Linked DNA regions of Ovis aries. The protein of the gene in region 3 interacts with the protein of the main gene of each other region in a pairwise test. Links are inferred from orthologs where the notes say so. Each region holds a gene or a part of one and is shown on either strand. Other genes may lie near its edges. The genes, in order: POGZ, GTF2A1, NFYA and ZC3H10.

Evidence for each region.
Region 1: the proteins of NFYA (region 3) and POGZ interact in binary tests that used the Homo sapiens proteins (3 or more experiments, as listed by UniProt). The two-hybrid records come from large-scale screens. The link is inferred for Ovis aries from reciprocal best matches to the Homo sapiens genes NFYA and POGZ.
Region 2: the proteins of NFYA (region 3) and GTF2A1 interact in binary tests that used the Homo sapiens proteins (3 or more experiments, as listed by UniProt). The two-hybrid records come from large-scale screens. The link is inferred for Ovis aries from reciprocal best matches to the Homo sapiens genes NFYA and GTF2A1.
Region 4: the proteins of NFYA (region 3) and ZC3H10 interact in binary tests that used the Homo sapiens proteins (3 or more experiments, as listed by UniProt). The two-hybrid records come from large-scale screens. The link is inferred for Ovis aries from reciprocal best matches to the Homo sapiens genes NFYA and ZC3H10.

The regions. Positions count from the first base shown.
Region 1 is NC_056054.1:101,346,185-101,353,176, reverse strand, and holds part of POGZ (pogo transposable element with ZNF domain), read left to right. Parts: intron 1-3,284; coding exon 3,285-3,385; intron 3,386-4,067; coding exon 4,068-4,214; intron 4,215-6,992. UniProt on the Homo sapiens protein: Plays a role in mitotic cell cycle progression and is involved in kinetochore assembly and mitotic sister chromatid cohesion.
Region 2 is NC_056060.1:90,686,368-90,693,359, reverse strand, and holds part of GTF2A1 (transcription initiation factor IIA subunit 1), read left to right. Parts: exon of another isoform or gene 1-34; intron 35-3,021; coding exon 3,022-3,123; intron 3,124-6,992. UniProt on the Homo sapiens protein: TFIIA is a component of the transcription machinery of RNA polymerase II and plays an important role in transcriptional activation. TFIIA in a complex with TBP mediates transcriptional activity.
Region 3 is NC_056073.1:15,032,700-15,040,162, forward strand, and holds the start of NFYA (nuclear transcription factor Y subunit alpha), read left to right. Parts: upstream 1-3,164; 5' UTR 3,165-3,280; intron 3,281-7,463. Other genes in the region: ADP-ribose glycohydrolase OARD1, read right to left, coding at 1-289, 1,335-1,479, 1,820-1,858. UniProt on the Homo sapiens protein: Component of the sequence-specific heterotrimeric transcription factor (NF-Y) which specifically recognizes a 5'-CCAAT-3' box motif found in the promoters of its target genes.
Region 4 is NC_056056.1:163,419,748-163,427,539, reverse strand, and holds the start of ZC3H10 (zinc finger CCCH domain-containing protein 10), read left to right. Parts: upstream 1-3,306; 5' UTR 3,307-3,333; exon of another isoform or gene 3,334-3,447; 5' UTR 3,448-3,472; intron 3,473-4,150; exon of another isoform or gene 4,151-4,320; intron 4,321-4,427; 5' UTR 4,428-5,254; intron 5,255-6,042; 5' UTR 6,043-6,106; exon of another isoform or gene 6,107-7,538; 5' UTR 7,539-7,593; coding exon 7,594-7,792. Other genes in the region: PA2G4 (proliferation-associated protein 2G4), read left to right, coding at 1-74, 230-283, 494-559. UniProt on the Homo sapiens protein: Specific regulator of miRNA biogenesis. Binds, via the C3H1-type zinc finger domains, to the binding motif 5'-GCAGCGC-3' on microRNA pri-MIR143 and negatively regulates the processing to mature microRNA.

The DNA.
Region 1 (6,992 bases), on a different chromosome or scaffold from region 3:
TGTTAAGGGAAGTAGGATTGTCATGAGTGGCCCAGATGAGTGCTTATCAACAGAAAATATAATGAGCTGTGTATGTAATTTTAATTTTTTTAGTAGTCATTTGAAATAAAAATATTTTAAGGTGAAATTAACTTTAATAGTATATTTTATTTAATTCAAAATAGCCAAGATAATCTTAGTATATAATCAAAATTTTTTAATTAATAAACAAATTTTAAATTATTCTTTTTTTTTTAATCTAGTGTGTACACCAGAGCAAATAGTCTCAATTTGAGCTCATCCCATTTCATATGTCACTAGCTATGTGTATACTGGTGGTTCCTATAGAAGGCAGTGGAACTTTGGACTAACAGTTAGTGGGTGGAGTAGATAATGGTTTCAACCATCATAACACCACATGCAGCAGAGTAGCAACTTGGTCTAAGTTAGGTCCCACGTTCTTCACTGTCAGTGATGGAAAGTCCAAATTACTCATCTGAATCTCCCAGCGAAAACATCTGCTTTTATACAGATCTGGTGGTGTGTGGTAGTCCACTTACATATTGTACTATACATAACAAGATAAGTTCTTCCTAATGGGAAAAAACAAAGTGGACAGTGCAGAACCTCATCAGTCTTTTCCTTTTCGTTTACCACGGTTTTATCCTTGACTTTTAATTTTTTGAGTATTTTATGACTTCGGTTTATACTGATGAAAAACCCAGACATTGTTGATCCGAACACAGGTAAATGCCTTTTCTGTGCTTTAGTATATATCAATTTTACTCTTGGATTCTTTTATAACTCCCTTTTTTTTGCATCTGTGGCAGATCCTTCATGAAAGTAGCTCATTTTTTCATGTTAACATCTTGAGATCATTGTTTTTAGTTTTGAAATTTTTTTTTTTATTTTCTGAAGTGTTTTTAAATTATAGACATAATGACGTTTCACTCCTAAATACTTCATTATATATCTCTGAAAAGTAAGGACATTTAAAATACATAGGCATTCCCGTCCTCATCAGAAAAGATGGCCTTTTTCCACCTACACCTCTCAACGTGGGGCCAAGAGGTAAGAGAGCTGACGTTTACTGAAGAGTTAAAACCCACTGCAGATCTCATGACTCTACATGGACCGCAATCAGGAATCTTAGGGAACACTTAGGATGGGTCCCTGAAGAATGCGGGTTCTGAAGGGTGATGGGAAGAGACACACTTGGTTATTCATGTGAGCAAATGCATAACTACCCTACTCTGAAACAGGTAGATGGCTCTGCATACGTAAAATCATTCTTGTACAACCCACGGAGCAGACGCCATGGGAGACACCCAGGGAGAGTGGGACTTTTGTCACAAACTGAGGCCAGGTGCGACAAGAGTCCAGTGGTCTTCCTGGGGTTCATGCCCTGAGCAACCAGATCTGTGTTCAAGCTACGGGTTCTAATGGAAGTCATACTTTGTGATAACTACAAGTTTAAACAAGTATAAACTTGATCAGTCCAGCTGATACAGTTAACACTTTAGTAAACGTCATTTCCAGCCTGAAAGAAAGAAACAAAAAACATAGCCATAGTATCTTTATCAAGACCTAACAGAATTAATCATAAATCTTCAACATCATCTGTCTTCATTTTCAAGTTTCCTGAATTGTCTCCAGAACATCAGTGGGTTATTGTGTTTAAACTTGTTTAAGGGCAATAGATGAAGGAAGAGGTAAGGTTGAGGGATAGATGCTTTCTTGTGTTCACATGTCAGGAGGATTCTTTGTGAAGAAAGACTCGGGAAAGGGAGAACCCCTTGTTTAGTAAAGTCATGGTATATATACATGGAATGATGAGATTGGATGAACCTTAGAAAGGCAAAAAGGATCTGTTCTTCCAAGTTTGGAAAGCAGGAAGCAGAGTCTATAGTATTTCACACCTGTTTTCTCAAAGCAAGAGACTGAGGTAGGTGTTAAGGAGGTGAGGGTGACAGTGCTGGGAGGGACAGTGTTAGGATGGCCACTTTGGAAAATCAGTCAAGTTTCCCTCTTGAATCTTCTTCAAATCAACTCCTTCCCCTTAGAACAGGTGTGAAAGGTTATTAGAGATCCCTTAAATCCATTGATGGCTTTGATTCCTTTCTCACTGATTTTCTGTGTATGAGATAATCCATATAAATCTTAGGATATTGTTTATGCATTAGAAATTATTTAATAAATGTTACTATTGATATTATGAGGCAGTTGTAACAATAGAGCTGATTTAGGAAAAGGCTTGGACAGAAGGCTGGGAAATACCAGTGCTTTAAAGTGTTCTAGAAAAGAAAAAAAGAAGCTAAGCAAAGTGAATTGAGAAGTAAAGGGCAGGAAAACAGGAGAAAAGATTGTCATGCCACTAGTTACAGTATCCCAAACATGTCATGCAGTTCCATGCCTTTGCTCAAGTTCTTCTCTTGTCTTCTCTGTCTGGCAAATCACTATTCTTTCAAGGTTCAACTTACGTGATCAACTTTTCCTCATTCTAGGCAGAATTTTTTATTTATCTGGTTCTCATACCTGATGTACTTCTGGGAAGTGGTTCTAAATGGGTTGCAGATGCCTTTGAGAATCGACACAAAACTTCCCCCCAAAATAAACATTTCACTCTTTGCAGATAATTTCAGGGGATACCTGGGTTCCTTGGACCCCGTATTAAAAACCCCTGGTTTTTGTTCATTTGTTTTATTTCAGCTTCACTCATTTGGGAGTGGTGGGCAGGGGTTAGACAGTAAATAAGCGCTTAGCACTTCCAATTTACAATTTTTGTGTTCACAAAAACTTGAAAATAATTTTAGTAATGTTAAGAAAAATACAAATAACTGTCTTTATTTTGCCTGTATAATTCACAGTATGTAGCAATTAAAATATTTGCCAAAAATTTAGAATTGCAGCCTTACATAGACATTTGATAAAATGGCTAATTTTAAAGTTTAATTATCTCAGTTTATTAGCAATAACTCATAAGAAGGCAAGAAATTCTGTTCATGTTGTCAGTCTTTGAAGGACAAATCCATATTTGTAGATGGTAAACTATTCCTGTGTAAATGTCTTGTAGAGAGTTCAAAATCTAGAAAGGAGCTTTGGTGAAGACATCTGAGCTAGAGACAGAAGGATACTTTTTATCAGCAACACAACTGTTGACAACCATTTTAAAGAAAAGAAGAGACCCCATAAGTTACTAATACTATTGCAAATGAAGATACAGGAGTCAGAAAGTAAAGATTATGAATCAGCAGGATTTTGGTCATATTTTCGAGTGTATTTACCGATTGTTTTTCTTCTCACAGCCAAGTGCAAGATCTGTGAGTGGGCATTTGAGAGCGAGCCACTGTTTCTCCAGCATATGAAGGACACTCATAAGCCTGGAGAGATGCCTTATGTTTGCCAGGTACGGCCTTCTCCTTAGGGAGCTTTGCTTGGTCTTTTGCTCTCGGGCTGAATGTGAAGATTCCACTAATGAACACTGCCCAGTATCTATTGCACATACTCAGTTTAAGGAACACTGAGGAAATACAAAAGAAATACTGAACCCAGGTTCTATTTTCAGGGTTCTTCATGCAGGAGAAAAACATAAAGGATATATGCATGTACCCAGCTGAGGAACCCAGTCTTGGAACACAATGCCTGTAGTAAGGGAGTGTCTGGGACTTCCCCGTTGGCCCAGTGGCTAGGATTCTGCACTCCCAGTGCAGGGGTCTGGGTTTGATTCCTGTTCAGGGAACTGGATCCCACATGCAGTTCTAGACCCAGTGCAGCCAAATAAATACGTAGTTTTTTAAAAGTGAGGGAGTGTCTGTCCCCTGAATGTTTCCTGTGGAGATAGGAAAAAATCTGCTCCTCTTAGCGAGAATTTGGACTTTTCAGACTTTCCTGTCCTTCCCATTTTTACTATATTTCACGGCTGAATTCATGATCACAAACATAACTCTGCATTACAAATTCAGAAAAATAACTTGATTTCTGTACATTTAGGAGAAATTTTCTTTCTATGTTAACACTTTGTTGCTACCCCTTTTCTAAGGCCTCAGTTGTTCACTTCACTTGTAGCTTATTTCCCTTATGTGGTTCAGGTGTGCCAGTACCGCTCCTCACTCTACTCTGAGGTGGACGTCCACTTTCGGATGATCCATGAAGATACTCGGCACCTGCTCTGCCCTTACTGCTTGAAGGTCTTCAAAAATGGCAGTGCGTTCCAGCAGCATTACATGAGGCACCAGGTACCAGACACCAAGCAATTGCCCTGCTTAATTATGGGTGCTGGGGCCAGATCTGAGCGAGGCAAATAATTTTGGTGGAGAAGATTATATGTGTGAGTTTGAAAAATGTATTGAATTCCAGTAATATGTACCAGGCACTGGGCTAGATGCTGGAGATTTAGTGGTTAAACGGGACAGTTAAATAGTACAATAAAGCAGGAGCAATGTTGTGTTAGGGGAAATACAGAATATAAAAAAGAACATAACCTGCTCTGGGAACCTAGAAAGTCTTCCAGGAAAAGTGTTGTTCAAGACCTGAAGGATGAGGAAGGATGAGCCAGGTGAAGTGGACTAGAAGGACAGCATGCTCAGAGGCACAGGGAGGCTCAAGGAATTGAAAGTTCAGTGTGGTTGGAGTGTGTAGGGTATGGGGGAGGTTGGAGGTTAGAGAACATATCATGGAGAATCTTAGAGCCATAAAAAGGAGTCTCCAGAGCTTTGCTGGCGCTTCACTGTTTAAGACTGCACTCTCAGATGCAGGGCCCAGGTTCGATTCTTGGTCAGGGAACTAAGATCCCCCATGCCTCACGGCATGACCAGTAAACAAACCTGTGGCTTTAACTGACCAAAAAATAAAATAGTTTAAAAAATAAAAAGGCGCTTCATCTTTTATTATAAAAAGTTGGGAGAAGCCTGAGGAAAACTGCCAAGAGGAACTTCGGGACATGACTAGTAAAATACCAGGTGGTATCCTGGATGGGAACCTAGAACCAAAAAAGAGAGTGTATGTAAAAACTAAGCAAATCAACATAAAATACAGACTTCTGTTAATTAAAACAAAAGTTGATGTTGGGAAGCCATTGAAGAGATTTTCAAATCCTGGAGTGATGTGTTCACATTTGCTTTTAGTTATGATTACACTGGCTGCTCCAAGAGTTAGGGAGACAAGCCAAAGGCTTTTTCAGTAGTTTACCTGAGAGATGATAGTGGCTATTGGCTTTTGAAATGAAGAGGATTAGAGTTGCAAGATACTGAGAAGATAAGTGCTATCTGTAATTTAGAGATGGATTAGGTGAAGGTAGTGAGGAAGTAGTTAAGAATAGTGCCCAGGATTCTGTCTTGGGTAATTGGATGAATGGGGAGACTATACTGAGATAGGAACACTGGAGAAAGTAACTTTTGAGGGGAGGATTCTGTTTGGATGGATATTCTGAGTTGGCAGTATCTATGGACATCAAGTGTAATTGAGTACTAAATAGTTGGATATATAGGTCTGAGGCCTGAATTGTGAAAGATACTTAGAAATCATCATTATATAAATCCAGTAGATTTAAACTTGAAAGTGCGAAGCTTCACCCCCACCCCCAAACCCCCAAATTGAGAATAAGGTGAAAGACCATTGAGTTCTCTCTCTACAAAGCCAGGGCCATAGTCCTGGGATGAAAATCCAAAGAGTCGTGATGTCGAGGAAGAGGCGGGGACAAAAGCATTTTGAAGGAAAATGTGTGGTCAAATGTTGCAAGAAGGTATCAGCAAGATAGAAACGTGAGAGGCCAGCCTTTAATTTAGCCATTTCGTTGGTCAGCAGGGTAGAAGCCAGATTTCAGTGGGACGGATGAATGAGAGGTAAGGAATGGAGAGAACTTACTTAAAGAAAGTTATGAAGGGCAGGACCAGGGGTGGCAGACGCAGGGAAGGAGGAGCAAGGGAGAAGTTGCTGCTGCTGCTGTGTTTTGGTTTGAAGATGGAATATATAAGCCTTGGTTTTAAAATGCTGCAGGAAAGGAGCCCCTAGAGGAGGCGAGTGAAGGTACATAGAGAGGGACCAAAACAGAGAACAAGATGGGTGCACCAGTGGGTGACATCCACGTGTGTGCACGCGTGCCCTGGCTTCTCGCTTGTAAGCACCTTCTTAGGTTCACACATAGTGACTGCTGTAATCCCCCACTGGTGTATTTCCATATACTAGCATAGGAACTGCCACCTGTAGCTGATGTTACAGAGCCTTCGCTGTCCTAGGAAGGAATCGTAGACGTGTCCTGTTTCGATACTGGGCAGACTGAATCCTCAAAATGGCCTTTCAGGGAGGCATATCTGTGTTGATGTGTTAAAAGGGAAAAAAAAAACAGCACTGTGTAGGAAAGTACTTTTTGTTTGTTTGTTTGTTAAAAAAGAGAAAGGAAAACAGGGGTGGTGAATGGAGACATTTGAGTTTGCTATATGGTTATCTGCACAGACCATCTGTGAAAGAATACCCAGGAAGCTGGTAACAAGTTGTTTCTGTGGAAGGGGACTGAGGAGTGCAGTTGAAGGTAAACTTAGCGCATGAAGGAGTACAAAATAAAAGTATGGGGTTTTTTTCACCATGTACATTTTATTGTATTTTTTAAAAATAATATCCAGAAATAGTAGCAATGTCCATCCACACTGTAAAGATAAAGTAATAAGACAGTCTCAAGCTTATATTTTATCAAGGATGAAAAGAACATTGACAGTACTTCAAATAAAAATGATAACTAAACTAAAAACAATAGTAATAGGGCAAGTAAAGCTGAAGCCACTCGGCCAAACTGTTAAAGCAAGTCAGTGGGTGATGCTCTGAGGACCTAGTTAACCTGGCTTTCAGTCCACCTTTCTCTGGGAGCATGGGACGTGATGATTCTCACCACCTAATAATAAGGCTTGTAACTGTATTGCAAAATATATAAAGTTATAGATAAAGATTGGAAAATTAGGTTCAGTGTTAAATGTTGTCTATTTCTTTTTAACTCTGTTAAATTATCAACAGAAAGATGGAAA
Region 2 (6,992 bases), on a different chromosome or scaffold from region 3:
TACCCTGCTTTTCAGTCCCTGAGCCTTGTGGTCCTCCTCCCTTTGGCTGCCCTGTTTATATAGAGCCATTGCCGCTCTCTAATATAGACTCTGCCAGGATGGGAAGGTGCTTTTCAGGCCTACGTCACCGCCTCTCCATTTAAACACCAGATCCGGCTTTAAATAGTGAGAGCTGCTGAGAGCGGGGCTGGGAGGTGCGTGCTCCCGAGGCGAGAGGCAGGCGCGTGCAGAGCTCACTTTTATTTCTAGGTCCTTTTCTGCCTACTGTAATTTCGTGCCCAGTCAGGGCGGCCTTCGCAGCCGCAAGTTTTTGTTTGGACGCAGCAGCTGGGATTTGCCGGTCTTTGTTAGGGGAGAATAGACTTGCCGTCTCTTCTTTTTATTTTTGTTTTTAAAAACAATTTTAAGCTCAGATGTCTAATCGTTTCTGTATTTAAGAAGGTACATGCATTATTGTCAGTTATTATTTTTTTTTTTAAGCTTTAGCTTCCAGCTGTAGAGGGTTTGATTTTGGTAGTATTTTTTTCACCGAGCATTCAGGACATATTAGAAATACAGCTGCTAATATTTCATCATGTTTTCCTGTAATAAATGTTTGAGACACACACCTTTTCAAAGAAATAGAGAAGTGCCTAAACCTTCGACGTAGAGTCTTATGTCTACAGTACAGTAATTGTTAGGGGAATTGTGAGTAATGTGAAGAGGCTTAGTGCAAACTGGGTATTAAAAAATTAAAGTTCTAAGTAGACTGTTTTTGCTGCATTGCATGTTCATATGGTATCCCGTGTAGAAATTAATCCAATTTATTTTCCAGTATTGTACTAGGAACTAACACTTTTGAAAGAAATTCTTTGTTACTTAATGACGCTAATGGCCCTTTAATTCACGAGTTTGGAATATCTGGTATTTGAAAACCAGGACAAACCTCAATTACTGTGTATTCCATAAAAGGCAGAAACTGGTTCAAGTAAAGTTTAGTGTTTTAAATAATAATTTGGAAATTGCTTTTTTCAGATATTGCCTATGTACTCGCATACTCTGAAAGACAGCAGTAATTTGGGTGCTTTTTAACTCCTGAACAATTTAAAATTCTCTGTGTACTTAATGATGAATACACATTTCCCTTTAACTATAGTGCATACAAATGCATTAAGTGGTCAGGTTGTGGGTTAATTAAAGCAGAAAAACAAAATATTAAAGCAGGATCGTTTCATTAACTAGGGAGTGCCAGAAGAAGGCACATTGTACCAATAAATGTGCAGATATCCAAGCAGAATATTTAGGGATGACTAACTTCAGAAACATTACAATTATTTTGCTGAAAAATTAATTTATATCGTCAATATGACATTTATACTACCAATTTAAAATTACACTGCATCTTTATAATGCTTTGAATCATTGGTTAAAAAAACTTTATAAATGTATTTTTGTAATTCAGTAGTTGAATCACTATAGATCAAGTAATATCCATAGGCAGACTTCCCTTGTTTATAGAATCAGACATTTTAAGGAGATATTGTAGAGATGGCAGAAGTCACTTGAATAATTTTAGTTCACAGAGACAGATTTGGCAAAATAGAGAGTAAGTGGAACAGCAAAGGTGAGAACTCAGATACATTGTTTTTCTGTTGCATTGAAAGGGAACAAATAGATTTTAATGGTTGAGGTAAGTTATATAGAGGAACATACTTGTATTTTTGGCTGGACAAAGACACATTAAGAGATTTCCCCTGTGATAACAGTATTGCTGATGGAGATGCTAATAAAACTTTTCTATTTGAGGTTTGTTTATAAGAGCAAACCTTTGGTTTTATTGGGTAGCAGTAACTTTTACCTTAAGCAAGATATAAAGCTCAAATAATGACAAAGCATTAAAAGAAAAAGGCTGTTAATAGCTTTGTGTGATAATGGATAGAATTTATAACAAGGTAACTCTGACAGCAATCTTCCTTTTGTCCAACATCTTAAAAATAGGATATGGGTTGGGCAAATTGTTCTGTCTCTTACTTTTTGGTTTTTTAAAAATACTTTATATACTTTTGAAGTGCTTTCACATCTATTCTCATTTTATTTTTGGCAACCTTCTGAAAGCTCCCGCCCCCCCCCCCCCACCAGTAATGCCAACAATAACAGTTATAATAATAGGTTAAAAAATAAGTATCAAAGCTGCTCAGTATTCTGTTCCATAGCGTCATCTGGGCAGCTCTTTGGTTTTAGTCTCTCAGTCATGTCCGACTCTTTGAGACCTCATGAACCCACCAGGCTCCTCTATCCATGGGATTTCCCAGACAAGAATACTGGAGTGGGTTGCCATTTCCTTCTCTGGGCAGTAGTAGGAGAGAAATCCTGGAAAAGAGATCATTGTGCCTTGTTCCTCTGAGACTGAGACCTGTTATTGTGGTTATAGGAAAGGCTTTATGGTATAATTTAAAGGTACAGACTGGGTAACAAAAGCCAAAATCAGGTGATTTTAAATGTGAATACTCATTAACTTTCAAATTACTGCCAGGCAAATGATCACAGAACATAAGACTCTGAACTCTTAAGAGGGAGATGAGGTTAGGAGATATAACCGGTTAAACTAAGCAAGGAATAATAAAAACCAGACATAGCAACCAGTAATACTGTATTGTTGGGTCCCATTGACTGTTTTGACTGTAACAACATAGAAATTATAACTGAAAATTGTGTGGGCCTTCTATGTGTAGTGATCTTCTCTGTTAAATATGAATTGTATTAAATAGTCATAAAACTTTTGTTACAATATGCAGTCATCAAGTCATTCAGTTTAACTAAGGCAAATGATCTTTTTACAATGACCATTCCTTTAAACTTACATCTTCTAAAATAAGTTTTAGAGAGTTAGAAAAATGACTATTGTGTTAATTTGTTTTGAATTTGTAAAAACATGTTACCTTTTTTTTTTAAACTTTATTTTACTTTACAACACTATACCTATTTTAAAATGTGAGAAACAGTCTTTTTCAACAATCTTAAATTTTTATTTTCCCTTTAAAGCCTAAACTATACAGATCTGTGATCGAAGATGTTATTAATGATGTGAGAGACATCTTTTTGGATGATGGAGTCGATGAACAAGTTCTGATGGAACTAAAAACTGTGAGTTTGCCTTGTTTTTTTCTTTTTTAACACTCTTCATTGAAAAACTATACTCCCATTATTTTTTCATATGATGACCATTTGACTTTGTTGCAGGAAGCGGTGTAATTAGTGAAGGGTGCTTGTTTTGAATACCAGTTCTACCATACATTCTTCCTCTGACCTTAGGCAAACCACTTATATTTCAGTTTCCGTATATGTCAGATGGGAGTTCATAGTACTTACCTTTTAGGTTTGTTTTGAGGATTAAATGTAATAACTATCTGAAGTGTTTAGCACAGTGCCTGGCGATAGTATTAGCTGTTATTAGTGGGCAGTTTCATTTATGGTCTAATAACTTCATATTTACATTCCTATAAGGTTTTGTTTTCCTTTTTTTTGTCTCAATGTCTGGATATTCTAAAATGTGTATGCTGTAGAGATTGAGCAAGTGCTTGATCAGTTTCACATTCTGGAGTCGGATTTTCTCTATGGGCCAAGTATTTGGTTTATCATATATCCTAGTTTGGGAGCTCCTTTTCTGTCTCTTAGATTTATGTGGATTTAAGCAGAAAAATACAGATATTTTTATTTTATGTTTGTGTTTTCTTATTGCTCTAAGAGTCGTGAAATCAAGGAGTATTTTTACCTTACTGCTCAGAACTGTGATTCTCAAAATATGGTCCGTGGACTTTCCCACAGGCTCTTCCAAGGGGTCAGTGAGGTGGAGCAGTGCCCAAGTCTGAATAATCACAGTATGTCTCTCACATTTCCAGTAAAAGTTGTATTACATGAAAAAAGTGACCAGTTAAACTTGAAACTCAAATGAACAAGTGCTGTTCCTTGAGATAACTGCTCCATATGCAGCAGAAGTGCATTATGCATGCTTCATATTTTGATGCACTGACTTAAAAATATGCTTACTTTTAAGGTTGAGATAAGATCGTTGATATTAAGATATTCAATTGTTTGATATTCTGTAGTGAGATGTGTTAACATCGGCCTATCTGCATACTACACTGGACTCGCATTTTCCAAATGACCAATGCATGATGTTGCAAAATCCCTTCAAAGTTAAAGATAAATGAATGGATTTTAATCTAAGAATATGAAAAGTTAATTAGTATGTGGTCTCACATAGTACATTGCAGCTAACCTTTAAGAAACCATTACTTAAAATACTTCTTCCTTTCCCAGCTACTTAGCTGTGGGAAGACAGATTTTCTTAATATACGTCAGTGAAAACAAAGTGAATGCAGCAGATGAGAGAATCCAACTATTTTCCTTTAAGCCATTTCTCACTAAATTTTATTTGGAAGACATGGTTATTTTCATTGAAAGTATTTATGTTAACATATAATGGATACATGTTACTTTTAAGTAAGTAAAAGTTTTTTTAAAATCTTATTTAAAATTTTGTAAAAGCTCATTGAGGGACTTGCTTGGTGGTCCAGTGGCTAAGACTCCATGCTTTCAATGCAGGAGGCCGGGGTTTGATCCCTGGTCAGGGAACTAGGTCCCACATGCGGCAGCTAAGTGTTCACGTGCAGCGATTGAAGAGTGCACGTTCCACAACAGGGTGGAATATCTCATGTGCAGCAACTTAGACCCAGTGCAGCCGAGTAAATAAATAATTTTTTATTTTTAAAGCTCATTGAGGTCCTCATTAATTTGTGAAAATGATAAAGGAGCCTGAGACCAAAGAGTTTTAAAACTGCTGGCTTAGAGACTGGAAATTGAACTCCTTTAGAGCTATGTATAAATAAGAAATCACAGTTAGTGAATGCTATGTAGCACTTGTTGTGGTCTTATTTATCCATTCAACAGAAGTGTGGAGGCTGCAATTTAGCAACTTATAAATTTAAATAAAGCAAATCTCACTTGTATTGTGGTGATGAATATATCTTAGAATATATCTTAGAATATTGCAGCATCTGTAGGCAGCTTCTGTAGGGTTTTCATTAAAAGTCTCCCCATGTGAGGGAGGGAAAATACAGGTTTGAATGGGACGAGGAAACATTTATTTACCTTAGGAGAAATGTGATGGTTACTGCCAGTGAAGAGTAGGTATCTAAAAATATAAGACTGCCAACTTTGAGATATGAGTTGGAAGAATAGCAATGGAAATTGCTCAAACACATTAAGTATCTCAGGGATATGAATAAGAAGAATATACACTTATTTTGATTTCTTAGTGTTTTTTGGAATGAATATTTTACAAATTATCTTATAACCCTTAAGATGATGTAGTTCTGTGACCTTATGTGGAAGATACAGCATTTTTAGGTGTAGAAAATTAGTCCCAAAGGCTTTAATTTACCCTTGGTCAAACTAGTGGTCAATCCAAGTTGTTATCTGCTCTAGCTTTTCACAGTCTGGGATTGATATTTTGCTACTGGTCCCAGTTAGGATCAAGGCGTTATCTTCAAACAGAATGAACTCTTTGAGACCAAATAGCTCCACCTACATTTTTAGTACATAGGATTTTACATATATGTGCACACATACTTGCAGATATATGTACGTATATTATAAAAGTAGTATATATATATATCTATGCTCTATAGGTTATGCACTGACTTTTTGTTTGTTTAGTGCTTAGCTTAATATGACAAAAATTGCCTTATTTTGAATTCCAAGCCTCTACCACAATGCTTGGTGTATGTGATTGGCATTCAGTAAATATTTACTTAAGCAACTTAATAACAAATGTTGCTCCAGAATCTAACTGAAAAAAGTATTGTAATGTTTTTGTTGCTTTTTAAATGGGACATACTCTTCTATTCTGGGTTGTAGCTGAACTTAAATATAAAACTGTTAGGCTGAAATGAGTTTGCATTATTTTAATTCTTTGCACTAAATTTCTTCCAGATCTCATTAGAGTTTACAGAATGTGCCCTAGTTTTAACAGTTTTGACAGCCAGCATTACCCAGTAGAACTTTCTGTGATGATGCAAATAGTCTATAATCTTTGCTCTCCAGTATAGTAATCACTGGCCACATGTGGCTATTAAAGCACTTGAAATATGGTTAGTGGAACTGAAGAACTGAAGTTTATTTAGTTACAATTAATATCACTTTAAACCATCACATACAGCTACTGTATTGGACCTCTTAGGTTTGAATATTCTTGCTAATGAAAACTAACAATGTTTCATATTCTATGGTTTATAAAGAACTTGTCATTAGCTCTGTCCTCTTTCTCACCCTTTTATGGTATTTGACAAACTTTTATCAAAAACTTCCATGCAGCTGTGAAGGATACAGTGGTGTATTAGATTGTAAATTAAGATGAGTAATGAGAGTGCCTGTAATTTGAAGTTTAGCTAGATAATACAGGAAGGGACCTCCTGCATTAAAAAATTCAACCTGATTCCTGAGGTTGTTAACAGTATGGGTCTCCTTTAATGTATAAATTATAGGAGATAGAAAAGACACATGAAATGTAGTGTTGATTTTCTTTCTTTCTTTTCTAGTTGAAGTGTAGTTGATCTACAACACTATTAGTTCTAGGTCTACAACATAGTGACTCAGGATTTCTATACATTTCAAAATGATCACCACTGGAGTTTCATTAAATCTGTATTTGAATGTAAATTGGGTTTTAGGTTGGTGAATGACTGCAGGTGGGAATGACAGTCTAGAAATCTTCAAAGAAAGTGAAAAAATTATCCTGATTCTAAACTGTCAGACCCATCCCTGTCCAAGTACTGTGGGAGAGAGAAAACACGGACCCTTTTCTTAGCAGAACAAAGTGAGAAGAATTCCTCAATTGGAAACAAACCTGAAGTAGTTAATCTTCCCCTACATCTGTTCTCTCATCCTTGGGACTGCTGACATTTTGGACCTGTTAATTATTTGCTGTAGAAGGCTATTTATTGTTGGAATTT
Region 3 (7,463 bases):
TATAACAGGGCTTTGGTAAATATCACAACTTTTTCCCACGGAGTTGGGATGCAGCCGCACGTTTCTAATGCAGGGCACCAAATCGCCACCAGCCCTGGGTCTGAGTGAGCACGAGGCCAGCTTTGGGGCATTTTTGATGGTCTATAAGGACACACTGTGAGCGACACAACGCAGCGCAGCCCATCTGTTTGCTGAGACTTGACGCTCACTGAGAACTGGCCCCGTCTTACCAGGTGATATATGTATCGTCCATCTCTCTTCAGAACAGCCACTTCTCCAGACTTTTTCTCTAAGAAAAACAGTTATTTAATAGTAAAAAAGAAACACCAAAACACTGATCTTCACTCTTAGATTTTTAAAAGATCTTCATAGATCTAAGTCTACTTCAGAAGTAGGATTAATTTTCAACTCTGAAGAACCCTTTGATCCTTATCAGCCTTCCTAAATACCATACACCTTAACTTCCAGTTTTCCTACTGTTTTAGGAAATCACGTTGTTTTCAATCACATTTTCTTCACACTCCATCTTCAATCCTGCTACATTTTCAAATAGCCTTTCTTGTTCTCTTAAAAAATGTTAATGTCTACTGCCTTGAAATGTTTTAGAATGTACAGCATTTTTCACTTGCCAAATGTGTATTTAATAATTTAGTAATTATATTTTTACATACAAACAGCTAATGTGTTAAGCATTATGGGGGAACATAGGTGTATTAACATTAAAAAGTTAATTATTTAACAGTTTCCAGTCAGGAGAACTATGTAGTGTTTTGAAACAAATATAACACAAAGCAGTTAAGAAGTTGCTTTCTTTAGGCTAGGAGCGGAATCACCAGTGGCAACTTGATTCAGTAAGCCTGGACTGTGGTCTAAGCAACTGTTTTCAGAAGCTCCACCTCTGATTCTAGTACACTTTTCTGCTTTACAATCACTGGGAGCAAGCAACAGGAAGTGTTTGTAAGGAAAAGTTCTAAACTCTGAAGCATAAGCACAGTATGGGCAAACAGAGAATCCTGAATGCCAGGCTAAAAACTGTGGATTTTGCTAAGCATGCCAGAGTTATTAAAGGCTTCAGACAAATGGAGTAATATTATTAAGAAAGATTTATGAAATACGGAGAAATTTAAAACTTTTACAAGAACTCAGGTTTCGTGGGCCAACCCAAACTAGAGACCATCTCTGAAGAGGAAAAACTTAATCTGCAGAGTTAAAAGGACTCGGTAGTTAGGAACCCCATCTGTGCATATATATCTTGTTTAAATTATTAAGCTTAAAAGGAGCATCAAAAGATGGTCTGGTCAGGGCATGTGAGTTCAGGTGCTTTCAAAACTCACGTTGATTCAACAGTTCCTGCACTCCTCCAAATTTCTTCTTGAAGAGGACAGCTATCCCAGCGCCCATTCGACAGTCCTCACTGATACAATGCACTAAAGAGTCTGTCTGGGGGCACGCAAATAGGTCTCCTTTCACATAAGTAATCTAAAATGTGCAAAGAGAAAGAAAACTTTTGTTACATATAGAAAAATACTAAGCTACTTCTTTTCCTTTACTGTGCCCACCACCACCACTACCTCTCCCCGCCTCGTCCCTCCTTCATTTAAGAGACAAGTGTTCAGAATTTAATGAGTTATCTAAAGCGAATTAAAGCATGTGCAAAGTAATGAGTGGGCTTGCCTAAGATTGTATCAGCCTTTCTAAAATAAATCAACAGAAGAGGAAAATAAGACAATTCAATTACTAGCTTAATTAAAAATGTGTGTGCTTTGACCTCAATCATTCTGAATTTCGGTTCACCAGTAAGTTAATAGTTGTTACGCACTCGGCTTCCTTCTGAATCTTCATTAGGGCTGCCAGCCATGATACTGGGTCACTATTTCCAGAACTTAAGTGTTTCTTCAGCTATAAAAAGGGAGTAAAAATGCTTAGGCAGCCCAAATATATTACATTCAGACTGCCCTGCCCACCCACGTTCGAACTCTTCCCCCCACCGTTTATCACTGAGTGTGACTTCTCTAGAAAGGAACGCAAAAATCCTCGGGGCAAGGAGAGGAATAATGCCTGGGTTCGGAGGCGGCCGTGACCCGATTGCATTTCGCGCTTTGCAGGAGAGGAAGAAAGGCAGTCCTAAGACCCGCCTCCTCCTTTCCCCGCGCCCGCGCCGAGCAAGGCTGATTTAGGACAGTCTTTTCTCTGAAAGATGCAGGAGTACTTCCCCATTGGGTCTAGCCCAGGGACAAAAAGGTGGGACTTGGCCACAGTCCCGTTAAGTCGCCAACTAGAGAGTGTACCGGTCAGGCGGTGTGTACTGCCAAGGCGCGAGCAGGGGTGAGAGGGAAGGTGGCCCCTTAAGGAAGACTCACCCCCATCTTTTTGCCGGGGGGCGGGGGGCGGGAACTGGGGGAAGAAGTAGAGAGAGGCCTCCCATTCTCCGTCTCCTACCCTAGGGCTGATCAGCCAGGGCGTAGGGCCTGTCCTGGGATCCCGTGGGAGGAAGCGAGGAGGCTTGCTCAAAGACCCAACGTACCGCCGTTACCCTTCACCTGGAAAGGAGTTGGCCGTTACGAGGTCCCGCCCCGCGGGGAAGGGCTCTGGTAGGTGGGTAACAGCGGACGAGCCCACGATGCGAAGCCAATCCCACCACAGCCTTTAATTGCGCGCACCAAAGATGGCCGCCCACCATCCGGGAGCCGGGCGGAAACGGGCCCCTCTAGCTAGCCAGCCGAACCTGCACTCTTTGGTGATGGCCGCCGAACTTCCGGCGGTGAAGCCCGACCGCCGCTGCCGCCCGGGCATGCGTAACGAGACAGCCGAATGCAAGTTCGGTAGAGCGGCGCCTGCGCATTAAGTCCCAAGGGGTGTGTCTCCAGGGGCCGCAAAGAAGAGGGAGGGCAGTTAGCAAAGGAGTTACTTAGCGCCTGCGTGCTGCTAATATTCAAGGCTCTGTTTGAGTGGAAGGGTCTGGCGCGCCTAGAAGACGCCTGCGTATTCCTTCGGCCGGGTGGGAGCCAATCAGGAAAGTGGGCGTGGCTAAGGCATACGCCTGCGCAGTGCTGCTTCTGCGGGGGTGGGGCGAGCCCAGAGCTCGGGGTAGGGGGCGTGGCCTAAGAGGCGCCTGCGCGGAGGCAGTTGGAGGGAGGCCCGATTCCCCTTTGTTCGACTTCGCCATTTTGCGAGGCAGCGGCAGTGGCGGCGGCAGCGGCGGCTGGAGCCTCTGATTGGGTTTCGGGGTCCGGTACTGGAGCCAATCAGCGCGGGCAGCGAACCGGGGGAGCGAGGCACGGTGAGTGTGAGGAGCCAATATCCAGCGGCCCAGAGCCGGCCCCAGCGCCCCGATTGGCGGGTCTCGCTGACCACTCAGGAGAGGCCCAGGCGCCTGTCGAGCCCCGGGAGTCGAGCTGAGTCTAGCCGAGCGGGGCGACCTGCTGCCCCGGACCAGAGCCTGCGAAGCTCTCCGGGGCACTCCCCACCGAGGCCTGCAGGGGGCCGCCCCGCGAGGGGATGGCGCCCTCGGGAGCAGGCATCTCGGGGCCCATACCCGCGCAGGGTGCCAGGGCCAGTTGGGGATGCGTCGCTGTTCTCCCCGACCCTTTGGCCCAGTTTCTCGGGCCCCAGACCCGGGGGTGTGGGGTTTGCCTTTCACAAGGCCCCTACGTTCAGGTATACACCCACTCGGGCCTAGGCAGTTTCCTCCTGGTCTTTCTGGCCTCACAACTTAAACCTGCCCTTGCACTCAACACGCGGCGGCCCCCGGGACGGAAAGTCTCCCCCCGCGGGTCCCGCGCACCCCTCCCCTCCGTGAGCGGGTCTGTCCTGTCTGCAGCTCTCCTAGGTGGGGAAGGAGAACCGGGGAAGACGCGCGCCGTGGCCACCGGGCCCCGCGTGCAGCGCGGACGGGGCCCGACCCGCCCCCGCGTCGACACTCTGAGGGCCCGCCCTCGCCGTCCCTCTGCAGGGGGGGTAGGGGGAGGGGAAGGGGTTCGTTAGTGCGCCCCCTTCTCGGACCCCGCTGCGCCCCTCCTCCTAGCGCACTCCCGGGTCTCCGGTCCCGGCGCCGTTACCACCCCCTTTTGGCTCGTCATTTCCTCTCTTCCCCGCCCCGATCGCCGGGCAGAACCGCACACCTCCGTCCTGGAGCCCATCCAGGCGGTGTCCCTTCCTTGCCCGGGCTGTAAGCCCCTGTCCATTCGGTGCCTGGAACCTCGCTCTTGGAAGATTGCGAGCTCTGTGCATTCCTTTCCCCCGAGGCTGCACAATTTGCTTTCATTAATCTTAATCTGTTGTTGCTCATTTCGTGGATTCTCGCTCCCTTAGGAATGTAGTTTCTTTTCCTTTCACCTTTCTGTGTCACTTCGAACATGTCAGACTTCACTCATTAGCTTGGTTCACAGCCATCTCTTGGTTTGTTTTTTGTTTCCCAGTATGTTGACGTTTTCTTGGGTATTTATAGAAACTTAACAGTCTTCTGGGGTTTTCATTAGGGTGAAAGGAAATCTCCTTTGACAGCCAAGTATCTAACAGTTAGTATGAACCAGGCGTCCATCTGCTGGGGGGAGAGTGATTAGAGGTCGATGAGAAGCCTGGTGGAGATTGACAGGTGAACAGGTAATTCATATCTCAGGGTTAGTGCTGTAACGGGGCCAAGTTCAGTTCTGTGATGTGTGAGCTAACGACAGCCTCGGTGGAAGGCCAGCATTGCCACACTTTTAATTGGCCTTGAAGGATAATGGGGTTTCTTTGGGCAGGAAAGAACGGAAGAGCATTGCTCACAAAGAGAAGAGCATGTGCTGAGGCACCAAACTGCTGTGTTCAGGGGAAGAAGAAAACGTTGGGCAGTGGGCATTTGTGACAGTTCAGTAGGTTGGGAAACGCAGTTGGTAAAACCACTTGTATATTTTGCTAAAGGATTTTTCAGAAGCAGTTATTTTGTGGAAATTTCAGAAGTCTGGAAGCACGTTTTTTTTTTTCCAAGTTTGGAAAAATAAGTTACTGGCTTATGAGATTCTGCTCCACAATAACAGCTGACTTTGGAGGGGAGGAAGGGAGATTTTTCTCCTAGGACTTTAGAATTTTTCATTCAGGTGTACTATTTTTCACAGTACAGCAGTCCTTGTTACATACAGTCAGCTTTTAGTATATGATGCCTATTTTTATAATCACATTTACTGAAGTCATAACTGGTAAGTTTCAGAAAGCTACACTAGTGCTCTTTCCACTACTAAAAAATTGGGGACACTTGTTTTCATTTTTGCCATGAATTTTTTATTGTTGAACACATTTTAAAAATTGATTTGTGAAATATCTGATAGATGGGGCAGTGTGATTTAGATATTTTTTAAGAACGTTTACATTTGCCTTTGGAGAGGATAAATACCTTGGGACTTAAAGATGGTAGTATGTGTCACTTTAAAATCAGCAAACATTTTTGCTAGACTTCTTTCTAATAGACAGTTATTGTCCGGTCATATTATTGCTAAACCCCTCTAGAAACCCTACCTATTTGCAAAAGAACTTCCTTGCCTGGAATTTTGAGTACAGTAATCTGACCTTTAGCTTTCTCTTGATGTGTGGCCTTTTAGCCTGCTGTTTTATATGTGGAAATTTTTCTCTTTGTTTTTATGCTATGACTTCATTTGGAGCACTCCATTCCCTTCCACTTCGACATGTGTAAATCCTACTTGTGCTTAAGACCAGGTCAGATGCCACATTTTTTCTAAAGACTTCATGACTGTCCCCAGTTTCTGTCCTTCACACTCTTTTGTTTTTTTCCTTTAGGGTTTGGGTATAGATTTTTACTCCTTTACTAAATTTAAAGACTTTGAAGTTAAAAACTTATAGTTTTCGTGTTATTTCTAAAACCTTCAAGACAGTGTTTGACAGGTGGTCCATCATTAGTGGGGATTATGCAAATTAGCTGCAATCCAGAAACCTTTTGGATGATGGGGATACAGGACAATTCTTTGTTCTCTAGTCTTCTATCAAACATAGATCAGGACCTGTTTGTTAAGTTGTGAAGTCAATTTAGTGGGCCAATGCTGGTAGTTTTTTACAGTAGGATAGAGAATACCACCATTCATCTTAAGTTATACTTACAAAGATCAGTTATGAAACTTTGTTACTTTTTAAAATACGTTCTCAGTGCATTTGTGATACGAAATGTGTTTCTTACTGTGAGCTGTCAAAAAGTTTTAGAAACTGCTCTTCTAGTCTTTGCCTGGTAGTGATGATCAAATATGATAATTCTGCAGGGTTTTTCACTTGTTTATTGAGGTTGAGTTTCTGGTTGGGTTAAATCGTGTGTTGGTCCAAAACAAATGGATTTCTACGTAGTTAGCTGCATTTCAGGTTCTGTACCTTGAAGTGAGGAGGAAGAGATTTTCTTGCTAACCAGAATAAACATATGTTCTTTCTGTCTTTGAGGAAAAGACATTCAAACTTTGAGGTAGGAGCAAGAACTAGACAGGCTAAATCCGGCTCACTTAATTCTGTCAGAATGTGGGCAGAAAAGCACTTCAGGAAAGACGACGTCAGATTATATTGCAGTTCTGCTAACTGAAGCTCACAGTAATGGGAACACATGGCTTCATAGAAGCTGGTGGCAACCGTTCATCACCATTGGCAGTCTAAATATCATCCTCCAAGCTGAATCACTCCTTCATTAATATATGACAGGAAATTGCTGTTAAACTTGAAACCCCTTCTGTTTTGACCCATCAGTATAGTGGATTTAAATGTTTTTAAGTTGTAGTATTTGTATGACGAGGATAAATTAGTTAAAACCTGGATGACATTTTATCAGTCATTTCTCTGCACTTCCAGTATGATGTAAATTTCTGGAAATTAGGGGTCAAGGAAAAAAATCTCACACAGGAAGGGGACTGAAGGTGGAGTGGGTTGTTAAAATACAGAGGACATTCCTTCCTGATCTTGTTTTATTAATCAACTCTTTAATCATTTTAAGTGTATGTTTTAATGGATTTTGATAAATTTATACACAAATGCAACCACCACCATAATGAAAAAATAAGACATTTTATCACCCCAGAAAGTTCCAGATGCTCTATCCCAGTCAACTTCCCTCTTCCCCCTTTTCCATTTCCAGGAAACCACTGATCTGCCTTCCATCTCTGGATTACTATTACCATCTCAGGGATTCATATAAATGAAGTCACACTACTCAGGACCTTTAATTTTTAATTTTATTAGCTTAGAAACATAAATGCATTGTGGGTATTGCAGTTAGAGACAAGATAGAATTTAGGAAAGACCATTCACTTCCCTGAAAGAGCCACTGAGTCTGGCTGAAAATCTGGTTTTCTGTACTGTTCCCAGAATCTCTGAGGAGCCAACTCAGTCAACCAGTTTAGAAGAGACATATAAAAATCAGAAGGCTGATTTGTCACTATGCAATGAGCATTAACTGTTGGGTTTACTTGTGTTACTGATCATATCTGCTCCCTGTTGGC
Region 4 (7,792 bases), on a different chromosome or scaffold from region 3:
TGCGGATAACCAGTGGTCCTTTTGAGCCTGACCTTTACAAGTCCGAGATGGAGGTCCAGGATGCAGAGCTCAAGGTTAGTGTGTGATGGAAAGGAGCAGGGACATGGCACTTTTTCTGGGAGTGAGGACTGAGTGATGGGAAGTCCTGAGAAGAGCTGCAATGCCGAGAGTAGCACTTGGCATTTGCTCCATGTTCCTCAAAATTTGTTCACTTTCTTCTGTTTTGCAGGCGCTCCTCCAGAGTTCTGCAAGTCGGAAAACCCAGAAAAAGAAAAAAAAGAAGGTTTGTTATGATCATCCCTCCCTGGTGGGGTGAACCTGATCATCTTTATTCACTTTCCTGGGTCTTGGTGGGGATATAGGTGTCGATATGTCCTTATTTCTCCTCTCAGCCCTGACCTAGAGAATTAGGAATACTCTTGTCCTTGGTCCCCCAGACAGTACCCTAAGTTGTTGGAAACTGACACATCTTCTCTCCTTTCCATGAATGTAGGCCTCTAAGACTGCAGAGAATGCTACCAGTGGGGAAACTTTAGAAGAGAATGAAGCTGGGGACTGAGGTGGGTCCCGTCCCCCCAGCTTGCCACTCCTGCCTCATCCCCTTCCCGCCACACCCCAGGCTCTGTGAAGTGCAGTTCGACTTCTCCACCCAGGACCGCGAGCAGAGCGGGGTCTCCCTGTCCTCCTCCCAGTCCCCCATCCCAGCCCCTTCCAACAACAACCAGCTCCAACTGACTCTGGTCTTGGGAGGCCAGGCTTCCCAGCCACCGAAGACTACTTTAAATAGAAAAGAGAAATTGAATAATAAAATCAGGAGTCAAAATCCATCGTTTTCAAGCCCCTCTTTCTAGCCTTTTTCTACTATTCTCTGCTTGGTCAAGGTTTATGGCCCTACAACAGAACGGGAGGAGGCTAACACAGCCACCACCACTAAAAACTCAGATGAAATTTTTTTATACCACTCCAGTGTCAGCATTTTCCCATCTGTTTGGGCTTGTTCCTCTCTCTGTTCCCACTTTCCCCAAGTCTTTTATCAGGCCTCAAAATAGAGAGGAGCTATTCAGACTGTTTTTCTTCACATGTGGCAGATTCCTTTTATGATCCAGGCTGTTGAGCCAGGCCCCTCCCATTTTTAGGAGCTGGAGCCTGCATTTACCAATGGATTCTCATCTGTCAGTTGGATCCTCATTTGTAAGTCTTTGTAGTCAGTTTTGTTCTACAGGACAGTTTTTCCTCCCTCCACAAGGCTGTAAAGAAGTAATCCATCTCAACTTTGTCCATTTCTTTGAAGTCAGTGGGGTTCTTCCCTTGCTCCATCTTAGAAACCTGAGCTGGAAGCTCCACTGTGGTTTTGTTCCCTGTTTGAAATACTTTTACTTCCCTTCCTTGAAAGAAAGATGTATAACCAGAGGAGCAGACTGAAGAGACAAAACTCCTGGCTTTCTGAAGCTGTGGACTTGGATTAATTGCTAGGGGTTTGGAGAGAAAGGTGACCTTTCAGTACCTCTGGCATGCTGTCCCAGGGAACTAGGGCTCCCACTAACTTATGAGGTTTTTAAACACATTGAAAATGATATGGCATTAAAATAAATTTGGATTTGCTCATAATCACGTGTCTGTATGCTGCTCTTATTTGATGGTGGAGAGTGAGCTGAAGTGATGATCATCTGGAACCAGTTTTGGGGGGTTTTTTTGGCCTTGCCTCATGCCACGCAGGATCTTGGTTCTCCAACCAAGGATCAAACCTGTACCCCCTGCAGTGAAAGCATGGAATCTAAACCACTGGACTGCCAGGGAAATCCCTGAAACCACTTTTCTATAGCCATATTCTGCTTTTCTAAAATAATAACTTGGGTTGGGGGAAGACATAAAACTCCTGGGTTTTGTGAATTAATGGTCATTTTCTATGGGAGTTTGGTCTAGTTTTCTGAAGTAAAAACATACCCCTTACTGCTGACACTATTTAGAACACAATGTTTATTGCAAAAAAATTAAACTGCAAAGTGATTGTCTTGGCTTAGGAAGCCAGGAAGAATGCCTTTAGTGTTAACGTGATTTTTCAAGCTACCCTGAGATTTGATGGGTAATGCATGTATTAGAGCATTTTTTATATGTTACTGCTGAATTAACTGAATTAAACTGAAACAAACTGAACACAGATCTCTTCCTAAGGGTTTATAGCAATCAACAGGTGAAATCCCAGTGGGTTTGATATCTTGGTGGGGAGGGTGGTTATTTTTGTTTTCAAACACATTACAGTCCATTGGTGACAATTCTAGAGCCACTTAAGAACTTGAAATTTAGAAATCTAATTTTCCAGAACTAAAACGGTGAAATTTTCTAGAGAAAACGCTAAAAAAAGGAATCATAACAAGCCTCATTCCATCTTATAGTGAATAAGGTGAAGTCCGTATGATGAAGGGTTTTCTTTCATCCTTCATAATACACGTTTTCTGCAGCCAAATCTTACAGTGTCTTTTTTGGGTGCTTCTAACCTAACCATATCTTGATACTGGGAAGCTGTCATATCACCAAATACTATTCCTGCCTAAAGATACATGTAGCTGATCGGGCTTTCCTTCTGTCCATTAATTAGATCTGTCGTTAATTTGTTAATGTGACAGGACTGAAGCGACTTACCACACACTCTGAAGAGGGAGAATCACTGAAGTATTTTCTAAACAAGATGCATTGTCGCCAGGAATGTTATGACATTCTGCCTCAGGCATTGTAGGGAAAGACCAGTTGACTAGGAAAAAAGTTTATTTTTCACAGTAACAAAGGTCTCTTTTTGTAGTATAACAGCTTTCTCAATTCCCCGCTTTATATCCTTTCAATGTTCTGCAATCTTAGGACCTTTAGAAGTTCCAAAATCGAACCTGCAGATATTTAGTTTAATAAATAAGGTAAACCAGTAAAACAAATCAGGACTTTTTGTACAGTCCGCCTCAATCCACAGTAAAATGGAGGATGTCTCCAGGAAACTGCAACTCCCATGAAGCAACGGGAGGAAAGGCGGAAGTAGCTACCCTTTGCTCGTTTGCGCCTCTAGGTCTCTTATTGGAAATATGTGCTCATATCTAAATAATACGGTATCCTCATAATAAAACAGGTGAGAGGAATCTTGTACATCAAAATACTGATTTCCAACAGAATTTTCCTAGCCTAATCACTTCACACACCAGCGAACTGCCAAACACTATCGTTACGCCCCTTGGGCAATCCCGCCCCTAGGGGCAGGGCGAGAAAGCGGAAGTGACGACACTGAGTATTCCATTAAATATCCGTAGGCGAGCCCCTGGCGATCTCTCGGCCTTAGCGCCATCTTTTGAGGTGAGTGTCAGTGATGCCTGTGTTCGTGTTCCGACTGCAATCCATAAACATCTGATCTCTGCACTTACCATCATTACAGCAAACTAACTGCAGACTTTTTTTCTTTACCCGTAGAAACCTCTGCGCCATGAGAGCGAAGGTAAGCAGTCCCTGCCAGTGAGCTAAAGCTGTAAGAATTGGCTGTTGGTAGGGGAGACCTTGGCAAGGGAAATCGGCCATCGTTCCGGTTTCGCCGGGTTCTTAGGTTGTGCTAACGAGCTAGTGGGAGAGGAAGGATAGTTTGAGGAGAAGCATATTAAGTGGTGGGTAAGTTCTGTGGGGAAAAGCAGAGTAGGTGGTAGGTAAGTTCTGTGGCGAGAGATGCTGAAAGTGGGAGAGAGCGCATGCAGGCAGGATTCAGGGTTTTACGTCTGGGATCCAGGTGGCAGTCCAGATTGTTGATGTGGTTTATTGCGACTAAGCCCTCCTACTTGATCAAGAATCCACCCGGTTCTAAGTAGTGCTTTTCATGGAAGTTATGAAAGTGTTAGTCGCTCAGTCGTGTCCGACCCTTGCGATCCTGTGGGGTGTAGCCCGCCAGGCTCCTCTGCCCATGGAATTTTCCAAGCAAGAATACTGGAGTGGGTTGCCATTCCCTTTTCCAGGTAGTCTCCCTTACCCAGGGATTGAACCTGAGTCTTCTGCATTGCAGGCAGATTCTTTACCGTCTAAGCCACCGAGGAAGCCTCCCCTAGTGTTCTTCATATCCCTATCTAAACATTGTTACTGAAACTAATGATATTTTATTCTCTGTCCTTGGTTTATAATCGGTTGCCAGTGGAGGAAGAAGCGAATGCGCAGGTATGCTGGGACGTAGGAGGTGGGGCTGGGAGAGTGAAGGAAAGTGGACAAAACTTGGGACGAACATCTGGTTTAGAAATCCAAAACAACTTATGAGCATTGACTGGCCAAAGCCATGAATTGAGCAGAAGACGACAGAATCGTAGTGTTGGTTGATTTTACCTTCCTTTGTATTGGGTGCACATTTAAGATTGGAGGGAAAGACTGAACTCGGGTTTGTGGGACCGAGGTGTATTCTTATGTCTGGTTTTCAGGCTGAAGCGCAAAAGAAGAAAGATGAGGCAGAGGTCCAAGTAAACTTGTACACCTGTGGAAGCCACAGAAGCAGAAACAAGGGAAGCCAGAGGCCAGGGACGCTGATACAAAGTGTGGACTGCATGCCTACTATCTAGAACTTCTCAATGGATCTGGAACATCTATGGCCATTCTGATCGCCTTGACCACCTTTGAGAGACCTACCTTGCTCATATCAAAGCCGTCCCTTTTATTGCCTTGGACCTGTGATAACTATGGACTAGTTCTCTTCTCAGTTGTGGCTGAATGTAACGTGTACAATAAATCATCTCTTGCTGTCTTAGCTGAAGAAAAATTTTGTGTGTTATGTGGTTTTTTATGGTTAAACTAGCTGGGGATTCTCTTATCAGTACAGTCTGTCTCTACTCCCTGTGTTAGAAAAAGTCAAGCTTTATATCTACAAGTCGGGGGGGGCGGAGAGGTGTGGGTTCCGGTCTTGTGAGCTGCTAGAGGATTGGGTGGCCTTTACTTCCTGGAAAGCGCGTAAACGCCAGGGACGGTTTTCAAGTTGATTTCGCGGGCACAGGAGCAACCAGGTCCGCTCTTATCTAGGTCCACGTTACAGAATTCCGCTTTGGGTCAGGTTGCCATGGTGACACGCAAAGCTTGCTGGGAACTTCCTGCTGCTAGTCGCGCAAGTACTTCGCACACCACAGAGTGTGGTTCCGGGTCTGGTAGCTAGAGCGTCATTTCTTCCGCAGGAAGCGGAAGGGCGATAGGGTAGGCGGCTCTTTGTCGAAGCTAGAGGACCGGCAGGCGGCAGCAGCAACTACGGCGGCGGCGGCAGGTGAGGGAGGCGGGAGACTTAGGTGGAGGCCGCGCCCGGAGGGGAGGAGTCGGGGCCGGCCCAGCGGCTGGGTTCGGCCGGGCTACACAAGGCCCCCCAGGACAGAGTTGGCTGTTCCTCACGTCGTAGGGCCGAACCCCTTTTCTGACTGACCCCGCTTCGCGAGCAAACGCCAGCTCCGTGACGTCACACCCTTGCCCATCCCCTCTGCTTGATGTCACCTGGAGTTCCCTTCCCCGCTTCACTTCGTGCTCCCTTAGTGTCCTTTTCATGTGGTCCCCGGCAGAGCTCCGGCGGCACTGCACAGAACCTGCCAGGCCAAAGACTTGCTCCGGGAAACTCCTAGGACTTTTCCCCCCACCCCCAAACTCTGGGTGTTGAGAAGCGTCATAATCACCGCCCCCAAGTCTAACCCGCCATCCCATTGCACTGTCAGTCGCAGCCCTTGCACGGCCCCCTATTCGGAGTTCCTAACCCTGACCCGACTCCGGGCTTTGATCCCTACATTCTCCTTCATCTCGAGAAGCGTCCCTTATCCTTTGTTCACTCAGAGCTGGTTTTCCAACTCTCTTTCCTAGGCCATCCAAATTAGTGCTGTCCCATACTACTCTTCTTACTAGCAGCTTCTCCCCTTGACAGGGGAAGTTCAATTTGAAATCGAAGGAAATCTTGGAATGCCTAGAGCTCTTTCCATTTTGTCAGACTTCATTCTTGCAGCAGCAACCACCCTGTAGTTCTCCATTCTTACCCCTTCTCACACCCAAGTCTCTTGTTTTTCTCCTGCTCAGAACCCAGCAGTGATGTGGAGGTGGAGACCCACAGGAGCCCCGGACTTCACCTGAGCTACCTCAGGTATCACGCAATCCTGGGAAAGTTGGGTGGGGAAGAGATCTGCTTCTGGTGGGACTTGTAACATGGGTCAGGCTTGGATAGATGCCATTTATTATTCAGCAGGTCAGTTCCCTTTTAGTAAAAGTTTGTATCTTTTCTTTTCCCACTCTCTTCCTTGATTGCTTTTACTATTCTGGGACTACCTCCCGTTGGAGGAAGAGGACCTCTTTCACAGATTCTTTTGCAACTCTGGCCTGTGATCCAGTCGGTATATTTTCGGGATCATTTTGCCTTGAAAGCAAAGTCAAGGCAACAGACTGGGTGGTTGGGGGCATCAAGGCCAAAGAAGTTGTAAAGATTCCCTTATACTCAAGGGGAAACAATATGAAGTTTTCCTATTTGAACAGCAGGGGGAGCCTGAACACTGCTGAGGAAAGGCTTAGGAGGTCAGACACGTGGTAGCAGGGACTCCTAGTCTTGTTGGGGGTGGGGAAAGGAGAGGGTTAGAACCAGGGCAGTGGACTGACATTCCTGAGATCTCTTGGGAAAGAGGAGACTTAAAAAGCTTTTATAGCGTCTATAAATAAAGAAGATCTTCTTGGAGTGAGGAATGGTGTGGTTTGATGTCAGTGAGATCTTTCCATGGAGGGTAGGAGGGGTATAGAGTGAAGAAAAACAGGTTACTTGTTCCTGTGAAATTAACACCTTTCTATTGCCTTGATCTTGCCACAAATGGTTTTGTTCTTTGGGGGTCTATAAGTGGAGATTCTAGCTGTTGAACTCTGCCCCTGAAATGGAGAGAAGGGGGCTGACCATCCTAGAGTTGAGAATAGTGGTAATCTGGGAGAGAACTCCAAAAAATGACAAATTTAGATATTGCCCTCAAGGTGGTGATACCAGTCTCTTTACTCAGGACTTCCTGGGGTCTAGATATCTGTTTCTTCACAGAGTCCTCGCCTGACATCCCATGGAAGAGGGGGTCAGGGAGGCAATGTCACCAGTATCCCATTATCCATTGCCATTAGTAGCTCACCAGCTTATCTTAGCCAGAGTTCTAGTCTCCTCTTAACCTGATCAGACACTGACAGCAGTTTTAATTTTGCTTCCACAAATTTAATAAAGTCAGTTCAGGAGGGGAAATAAAATCCAACACTAATCTCTCCCGCCCTCTGCCTCTTTGGCATGTCATGGTTATATGAGGTGGCTTCACCCCAACTCTCTTCTGCTCCATCAGCCAGGCAAGTGTGAATCATTCTGACACAGACCAGGAGCACAGGGCCTGGGCAGGACTTCTGATAAGCCAGCCAGTCCAGGCAGAGTGCTCATCCGATAGCTTCTCCATCTCCAATACCATTGTCCCTCTGGCCTGCCTCTTGTTGGATTGCCTGATAGTCAGGAAAAGTTTGGCCTTCCTGGAGGACTCCAGTGTTGACACAGTTCTTCTCTTTCCTAGCGGTCACCAAGAGTGGCAAGAAAAGGAAGAAAGCCCTGAGTTGGGAGGGACCAGGATGCCTGACCGGGACAGCTATGCCAACGGCACTGGGAGCAGCAGTGGAGGCCCTGGAGGTGGTGGCAGCGAGGAGGCCAGTGGGACAGGGGCAGGCAGTGGTGGGGCCAGCTCAGATGCCATCTGTAGAGACTTCCTGAGGAATGTGTGCAAGCGAGGGAAGCGTTGCCGCTATCGCCATCCAGACATGAGTGAGGTGT